2 linked regions of the Canis lupus familiaris genome follow. The protein of the gene in region 2 binds, or shares a complex with, the protein of the main gene of each other region. Links are inferred from orthologs where the notes say so. Each region holds a gene or a part of one and is shown on either strand. Other genes may lie near its edges.

Region 1 (4,556 bases), on a different chromosome or scaffold from region 2:
TATACCTTATGCTTCTCATACATCTTTGGTAAAAGCTCCATTATACAATATGGCCAAAGCACGAAGGACCAATACTGTCCAACTATGTACCATGATATCCCGCTCCATTTTAGTTTTCAGACACCCTCCTGAACAAAACCCACTCCACCTTTTCCTGTATACTGCCTTTGCAGTCTACATTTCTTAAATTCCCTACGTTTAATTCCTTGAGGATCTCTAAAATTAATCCTTAAGGCTATATGAGAACCAGATGCTGCTCACAATTCTGTATCAAGCATTAACATTTGGTTCAAGGTATCATCATAGTGGTCTCGATAAGCTAGTTACGGGTCCTAACAAGCTAAGCAAGTAATCTTGCTAGGATCTGGATATCACCAGTGAGCACACTGCTTACCCTTGAAGAAAAATAAGTTTACATTCATTGTCATCTGTAGGTTCTTTCTTCATCCTACTTCCCCTTTAATTGTCATTTCTCAAGTCTACACATCATTCATTCATCACATTTCCTTCCTTAAAGGAGATAGTGTATTAATGAACCAACAGGAGATCTATTTGTATGAGTTAATCCTACAATCAAACAGAATTAAATACCTTTTTTATAAAACATCTTTTCCAGTGTTCTAATTAATGGAGATGTGGATCACTCAATTATAAAAAAACTTCTATCTTCAGCTTAATCAGTTGCTCTAATGTGAAAACAGGAATGTGTATTCTTTCAACTAGGTAGAAAATGTGTATAATTTGAATTGTTAAACGCTTTTATTAATGAACAAAGTAAACATTCTAGTAACTTTTAAAGTATTGGTCTTAGACATTTGAAATGTGGTAAAAGTATATATTCCAGTTTTGCCCCAATGTCACTGAAAATATCTACAGATATCTCATCTGTGTGTGGCCTACACCATTATTGCTCCATTTTCTGGAAAGAGTCTACTTTTAAAGTTAAAAAAGAGGGAAACACAGCAAAGTTGCTAACTTTTGCAGTGAAAAAAAATCTGTTGACGGGTTACACTTTCATCTTTTTATGCAGTGTAAGTTAGCTATGTAATAAGGAACTTGCGTTTTAGCCCTACTCATGCATGATGTATGTTTCAGAACTTAATAGCTGACATTTCAAAGAACTTCTTACATTACCTGTTTAACATACTGATGTGCAACTGGAACATATTACAATGATATTACTCATTATTTGCCACTGTAGGCTAAGTTTACTATACTGGTCTTAGATATAAAAGGTCACATTTGAAATTACTAAGTTAAAGGTAAAACTCATAAGGGAGGAGTAAAGGCCTTAAATATAAAAGACAAACGGCAGTTTGATTAAGCAATAATTTTCAGTTTACTAGATGAAACAGACTTGCAACATAGTCTGCATGAATGCAAAATAAGCCATCTACAGCAAGTGATAAGGAAACTGGGCAAAAAGGAAAAAAGCATACATTGCAAAAAAGATTCTCTCGAAATAAAAAAATCAAACCATTATTATAAAGGACTTTACCAAAAACTGCTATATTTCCCCCATCCCATTTGCTGGAAGTCAGTAAGAGCATCTAGCACTTTGTGGTCATGTCAAATGTCAGATCGGAGCATCCTAATGCAAAGCAAAAAAAAAGGGGGGGGGGGGGGAGAAAGAGAAACAAAAAAGGAAACCCCTAAACCCCCCCCCCCTCCCCAACCGTAGAACAGTAACTCCAGAGTTCAAATTCAAAAGAAGAGAAAGTGGCAATTGAAAGAGGTGATGGTGGCGATAATCCTATGAATGGGTTTCTGATTTCTCTCCTTCCGGGGGATAGGTGGAGAATGCTCATTAGGATTTGTAGTTAGAGGTTAACCATGTGAGCCCCTCATAGAGTCCATCCCCTGAGGTGGCACAGGAGGGCTGCACATACCAGTTCCTGTCCCGAATCCGGGTCAGGCCCAGTTTCTCCTGGATCTCGTGGGGTTTCATGGCATCAGGCAGGTCCTGTTTGTTGGCGAAGATGAGGATTATGGCGTCCCTCATCTCCCGGTCATTGATAATGCGGTGCAGCTCCTGGCGGGCCTCGTCGATGCGGTCGCGGTCGGCGCAGTCCACTACGAAGATCAGACCCTGGGTCCCGGTGTAGTAATGCCGCCAGAGCGGCCGGATCTTGTCCTGGCCGCCCACATCCCATACGTTGAACTTGACGTTTTTGTAAGTCACGGTCTCCACGTTGAAACCCACTGTGGGAATGGTGGTCACCGACTGGCCCAGCTTCAACTTGTACAGGATTGTTGTCTTGCCGGCCGCGTCCAGGCCCAACATGAGGATCCGCATTTCCTTGTTCCCGAAGATCTTGGATAGCACCTTCCCCATCGCGTCGGAGGAGCCGGGGCCGGGGGCATTCAGGTGTCCCGGGTCCCCTCAGCCAACTACGCCGCAGCCGCCGCGAAACCGAAACGAAGCCTCCCGGCCGCGAGGGCGCCCGTGCGGCCTGCGTGGGAGTTGCCTCCTCGGGGCAGAGGCCCAGGCTCGCCACTCACTCGGGCATCACCGACCGCACAACTTGATTCCTCCAGCCGCCGCCGCCGCCGGGGCCCTGAGTCTGCGCCGGGAGAGCCGCCGCCCTGCTGAGGCGCGGCCCGGCCCGGAACTGCCCTTCCCCCCGCAAGCGCCGCGCTAGCGCCGCCGCGGTTCCCGCTCCTCCGCCTTCTCTTCACTCGGCCGCGGGAGGTCGAAGCCCTCCGGCCCACCCGCCGGTCCACGAGCACCGGGCTCACCACCGACCCAGGCCACCCGAGAGTCAGCGCGGCTCCGGCGCCTCGTCAGGTCATTGATCCTCGCCGGGATCCGGTGCGCCGCCTGCAGAGACACAGAGAGGAAGAAGGGAGTTACTGCCGGCAGGCCAGAAGGGAGCGGAGGCCCAGGTGACTCGTCCTTCCAGCTCAGTTCGCGAGGTTACCTCAAGCCGCCGCCCTGAGCGCGGGCTCCCTCTGGCCTCCACCGCCTCCTCCCAGCTCTGCCGCTGCCGCCGCCGCCGCCGCCGGAAAAGGCGCCGAAGAAACCGCCTCACTTCCCCTCCCGATCACGCAGGCGCAGCAAGGCCGACCGTTCGGTGAGAGCGAGCTCTGTAAGGAGCGCGGCCCGCGCGCCCAGCGTCATGGGCGCCACGCGCGAGGGGGCGGGGCTACGGCGGCCTGGAGGCCTCGCGGCTGCGGTCAGGCCCCAGACCCGCGAAACTCGGACTCTGACCCGTGCCCGCCTGGCGCTGTACGCGGACTTTCTGCGTCCCTGTGGCGCGCTCTCGCCTCCCCCAGCCCTCTCGAACCAGAGCAGGCAAATCCACTGGGGAGCTCCCGAGGGCGGGGCCCGCGGCCAGCCCTCTCCCGCGGTGAAAGCCTCCCCCAGGCTGCTTCCGGACGTCGGTGCCCGCCAGGTGCTCAGCGAGTTCCCTTGGGCCCGCCCCAGCCTCCGCGCGTCCTCAGTCACCCGGGAAAGCCCTATATGCTGTTTGTACGTCTCCCAGCCCGTCCTTGGCCTCCCTCATCCCGCGTGTTCTGTGCATTTCCTGAAAGACACGTGGGAGGCCCGCGTTTGGTGTGGAGTCGGCCAAGCAGTGCGGCGCTTCTACCAGGCTTGGGTTTGCCAGGAAACCCCGCTTTTCGGTGTTCGAGCCCTGTCTTACACATCTCTTCGGGACCAGACCCTGTTACTTAAAAATGACAGTGTTAACCAGAGTTCCAGTCCCTTGCTGCGTTTTCAACTTTTTAAGGTGATAACTTTTCATACTTAAGTTAGTGTGTTGAGCAGTAACTTAACCACCTAGCTTTTCTTTAAGAATCCTAGACGAGGGGATCCCTGGGCGGCCCAGCGCTTTAGCGCCTGCCTTCAGCCCAGGGCGTGACCCTGGAGACCCGGGATCGAGTCCCGCATTGCGCTCCCTGCGTGGAGCCTGCTTCTCCCTCTGCCTGGGTCTCTGCCTCTCTCTCTCTCTCTCTCTCTCTTTCTCTCTCTCTCGAACGAACAAATAAATAAAGTATTTTTTTAAAAATCCCAGACAATAATAATCTTAGCACTAGGGTTTAGAGTCAGAAAGCCTGACTACTTTTGTGACCTGGATCTAAGGCATTTAACCTTGCTAAGTTTGTTATCTCATGTGTAAACCGAGTGTAGTGCCGACCTTGCTCTGTGTACTCCGTTTCAGAGTAAATAACAAAATGTTTGTGGAAGACTTTCGGAAACTTTTTTGTAGCAAATAGTTAGAGATCAAGTTAGACTTAAAGTAAGGCGAAGCCTAAAATAAAGGAACCAAGGGGAGGAAAAACAGGAAATAGGGTTTGTTATTTTTTAAGGAAGATGCTATAGAAGCATATGATAACATACTTGTTTCATAATATAAGAATATTTGATAATGGTAGATGGGTCAGGTGATAACCTTATAAGCTTCAGCTGAAATAAACTTACTGGAGTTGTTAATATTCTGACTGATCCAAGTTTACTTTCCATCTGCCTTGATCCATCTTACTTTCCACTGTCATAAAACTGAAGGAAGGATTTTGGAGTGAGAAGATTAGGGTTCAAAGTGTTGCCTGTCCGT
Region 2 (4,454 bases):
TAGATCCTAGGATCCTGAGATTATAACCTGAGGTGAAGGCAGAGGTTTAACCCACTGAACCACCCAGCCAACCCATTTGCCCTGAAACTGATCATAATCTATCTAAAAGCAGCCTTCCTTTAGGTTGTTTTTAAAGATTCACAAAAATAGGCTAACTCCACACCAAGCAAACTTAAATAAAAGCAAAGAAAAAGACAAAGAATTCAAATTAAGCAATATCATTAGAATAAAGATGAAATTTCCAATTCCTTGGGGCATCTGGGTGGCTCAGTGGTTGAGTTTGGCTCAGGTCATAATCCCAGGGATCCTGGGATCACTCCCGCATCAGGCTCCCCACAGAGATCCTGCTTCTCCCTCTGACTGTCTCTGCCTCTCTGTGTGTCTCTCATGAATACATGGAACTGTGTGAGAAGAAGGAAGGAAGGAAGGAAGGAAGGAAGGAAGGAAGGAAGGAAGGAAGGAAGGAAGGAAGGGAGGGAGGGAGGGAGGGAGGGAGGGAGGGGAGGGAGGGAGGGAGGGAGGGAGGGAGGGAGGGATTTACAGCAAAAGTACTTGAAAGCCTGGAAATTGTCCATCACCAGAAAGTGTAAGTTAATTCTGAGCACCTTTGTGGAAATCTAGGAGGGTATATAAAACGGTGAGAATATTTTAGGGGGTGTGAGTTGCTATAATGTCTTGCTTGCAGGAATTCGAACCAACCTTCCTCCCTTCCTCTGAGGCACTTTTGCTACAATAGCAGACTCTTAGGCTCCATATTAAAGGCCACAAATGAAGCGCTCAGAAAATTAAACACAGAATTCACTTCTGCATATTGGCTTAAGAAAGACTGAATTTCCAGAAACTGGGTAAAACTTGACTTATCATCTTACACAAAAAGTGATAACAAGGTGGTTGTATGTTTGGGGTCTGGGAATTGGCTCATCTATCATTTCATCAATTTTCTCTATTCTCAAGTCATGGCTCTTTGCCCAAAGGTCTCATAACACAGAATTTACAGACGTATTTGAAAAAGTATAAATAACCAAAAAAAAAGTCACTTATTTACTTAAGAAATTAATATACAATCCAGTACGTAGCAGTTAGTTTTATTTCCTGATTCTGCAACCTGTAAGCAGATATTTTTCTTGGCATGTGTGACCCTGGCCTTTTGCCATGTTCACATGTCCCTACAGGAGTTTAAAGTTGGAGGGAGCATTTCTTTTATCCAAGGTGATAGGTCATGCTGGGCCTGCTCCTCGTCTGTGTATACATGTCTCTTCCTAGTACATCCACACATTGGTCAGATAATAGCCTGTATGAGGATGAAGATACAGCACGCCACCTCAGAAGTAGTACACGACCTCTGTTCTATAAACAGTGCTAATAAGCTACTGGACATTGCAATCCCATCTTCAGATTTTTTTTCAATCCCTCCCTCTCTATATACTTGGAAATACTCTTGACACAAAGTCAATTTTGTTTGGCAAATGCAATGGCATTCCTTTGAGACAAATGGATCACAAAATCAGAACTAGAAATCATCACTATAGTCAAGCTTAAGAAAAAGAGAACTATGTGACCTGGTACAAAGGTATATGTGACAAAACAGAAGTCTAAGTGGGGATAGTATTCAGGGTTAGGAAATGAGCTGCTAAATAAATCTCATATCCTAATGCCTTTTTGCCCCAAGCATTTTTCAAAGAGAACATGTTGCTGGTTCAATAATTCAGTATTTAGTTTCCTTCAATCACCATGTATTTAGCCCGGTGTATTAGATTAGATGCTCAGAAAACAAAGATGAACACTTCGCCTGAATTAGGTAAATTCCGTAGACATAAATGCCAACACACCCTGAAAGCTTAAATCCTGGACTGTCTCAAGAAGTCCAAGGCCTATCACTTGCACTCTAGAGCTCCAAAAGGCTCACGGACCCGAGGCGAGGGTTCCGAGGTCACTGCCGAGGTGCGAGGGTTAAAGACACCTGTAAACTGCAGTCCTAAAAAAAGGCTGCCACCAGTCAGTCACCTACACCTCCTCAACCCGCCCCGCCCCCCAGCCCTCTTCATAAATAAACAGAGGGTTCGTCAGGGGAACTGTCCAAGGTGACCACCTGACACGGGGGAACGCTTTGGTGTGAGATGTCAATAAAACAAAACTGTACGCTCTACTGACAAGACTGTTGCTCTACAACATCTCAGTGCTGACAAAGTGTCAGCCAAGGCCCATAACACATAAAACAAAACCTCTTTCTCTCCAGGGTTAAGACGTCAGGAAGAAACTGACCGAAAGAGGGAGATGTCTAACTTCCCAAAGCAGCAATCCCCTAGAAAGGTACTGGAACCAGCGGAAGTTACATACCCAGGACAGAAGTGTTTAAATGCCCCCCCCAACACACACACACACACACACACACACACTCACCATGGTAAAAGTTTGAACCGCCGCCTGACTATCCCACGGTGGTCGGAAACTTCCCTGAACTACAGGCGGCTACAGGCCACCCCGAAGTCTCCGCCCCCAGCCGATCTCAGGTGCCCTCAGGCCAAGCTGTGGCTCCCGCCCCGGGCCTTGCCTCCTCGTCTCCCTCCCTAGTCCCGGACACCCACTAGCCTGCCGCGGCTCCCGACGCCGGCCGGGGGGTCCCGGCGACCTCCGGCCACAGGCCCGCCCCCCGGGAGGCCCGGCGCGCCCCCTCCTCGGCCGGGCCGCGACCCCCGGCCCCCGCGCTGCCCGGCGGCCGGCCCTCACCTCCTCGGCGTGCTTGCGCAGCGCCTTCTCCCGCTCGTACTGGGTGATGAGCTGCTCGTTGTCGTCCCGCAGCAGCTCCAGCTCCACCTGGTGCTCCTGGTCCTGCGCGAACACCGAGTCCAGGTTCTCCAGCACGGCCACCACCAGCGGCATCAGCTCCTTGACCACCTCCTCGTCGTAGCGCCCGATGAGCCGCTCGAACTCGCGGTAGATGGAGCCGGCCAGGCCGGACACCCGCTCCGACATCACGGCCCCGGAGCCGCCGGGCTCCTCCTGGTACACCACACCGTCCTCCAGCTCCATGGTGGCGGGCGGGCGGGCGGGCGGGCGGCCCGGGGCGTCGCCGGCTGAGGGGGCGGCACGGGCCCGCACGGGACGGGCCCGGCTGGGGCCGGAGCTGGGGCTGCGCCCGGCGGGGTGGGGGGTCCGGGCCGGAGGAGGGGAGGGGTGGGGTGAGCGCACTCAGCCCAACGGCTGCTGCACCAACTGCCGGGGCGGCCGGGCCGCGCGCGCCACACGTCACCCGCGGGGCGGGACCCGCGCCGCGTCGGCCCGGTGGGCGGGGCCCCGCGGGAGGCCAGGCGCGGCCGGGGGGCGGGGCCGTGCGTCACCGTGCGCCGGCGGAGGGGGCGCCGTGGCGTCAGCACTGGGCGCCGCGCGGCGGGCGCGTTCGCCAATGGGAAGGGCGGCTGGAGGCGGGTGGCGAGAACTGTCAGCGCCCGGCGGACTCGCAGGGCGGGTCCCCGAGGAAAGGGAGGGGTCCTGGAAGAGGGACCGGCCGCCCGGGACCCACAAAGCTAACATTTCTGTTGCCTTTCGCAGCTCACAAAGGGCTTTCTCATTTGTTCCTCACGACAGGCGTGGTGTCGTGGAGGTCTCGTCGCCGTCGCACGGACAAGGGGAAAGTAGGCCCAGGAAAGTTGTGGTTCACTCAAGGTCACGCAGCCAGAACGAGGAGGAGGCCGGTCCGGGGCTCAGACCATCCAGATTAGGAAGCTCGGGCGGGCTCGGAGAAGAGTGGGACACACACAGGGGGAGGGTTACAGCGACCGTAACCAAGACGGGAAGTCCCTGAGTGATGCGGCTGGGTCTCCAGGGCACTGAGCGGGGACGGCGGGAGTAAGGGTGGCCCCGTAAGTCAGAGGAAGTGCGAAGCATTCCGGACAAGGGTAACATGACGCCGCATCTGGCACGTCCCCACCCCAGACACTGAGCCCCTCTGCCCCGGGCCACCTGGGACGGTGGCATTTCCGGGCTCCAGACACCCGACGCCCCTCTAGTCTGGAGGAGGGCGGCGCGGGGAAGTGAGGGGCCGAGGAGTCCAGGAGGGAAGGGGTGGAGTCTCTGGGGTGAGTAAGTCCCAAGATCCGCGAGGCCTCCGCCGCCCGCCCGGGAGAGCGTCACGTGTGGGGAATGACACAACGCCCAAGCCTCAGGCGGCCTGAGTCAAGGATGGCTTTCCGGGCTTCTCCTTTAACCTCTAGAGATGGGGCGAGAGACGCTCCCAGAAACCCCGCAGGTGACCCGAGGCGTGTTGAGGCCGGTTTCTCCTAAGAAGAGGGAAGAAAAGGCAGGACTTGGATAAATGGGAGTCTAGTGGGGGCAATAGGCCATTCCCAGGATCAAATACCCTTGACCTGTTTACAAGTTCGAGTTCTTTCTACCAAGTTTGAACTAGTCCCCCAAGGTCTTACAATCTGGACCCCCCCCTGGAGACCCACAAAAAC

Evidence for each region.
Region 1: the proteins of SPAG9 (region 2) and ARF6 are in contact, whole or in part, in a crystal structure (PDB 2W83), measured with the Homo sapiens proteins. The link is inferred for Canis lupus familiaris from reciprocal best matches to the Homo sapiens genes SPAG9 and ARF6. Residues at the interface, in NP_001124000.1 of Homo sapiens: Lys431, Asn432, Ile435, Val438, Asp439, Thr442, Cys443, Asp446, Val447, Gln449; in NP_001654.1 of Homo sapiens: Glu13, Arg15, Lys34, Phe47, Val49, Glu50, Thr51, Thr53, Lys58, Asn60, Trp62, His76, Tyr77, Thr79.

The regions. Positions count from the first base shown.
Region 1 is NC_049229.1:26,667,963-26,672,518, reverse strand, and holds the start of ARF6 (ADP-ribosylation factor 6), read right to left. Parts: upstream 3,084-4,556; 5' UTR 2,922-3,083; exon of another isoform or gene 2,822-2,921; 5' UTR 2,336-2,821; coding exon 1,808-2,335; 3' UTR 1-1,807. Other genes in the region: uncharacterized protein LOC119876490, read left to right, coding at 3,120-3,731. UniProt on the Homo sapiens protein: GTP-binding protein involved in protein trafficking that regulates endocytic recycling and cytoskeleton remodeling. GTP-bound form plays an important role in the transport of multiple palmitoylated proteins form the Golgi to the plasma membrane.
Region 2 is NC_049230.1:26,912,836-26,917,289, forward strand, and holds the start of SPAG9 (C-Jun-amino-terminal kinase-interacting protein 4), read right to left. Parts: upstream 3,040-4,454; 5' UTR 3,031-3,039; coding exon 2,728-3,030; intron 1-2,727. UniProt on the Homo sapiens protein: The JNK-interacting protein (JIP) group of scaffold proteins selectively mediates JNK signaling by aggregating specific components of the MAPK cascade to form a functional JNK signaling module.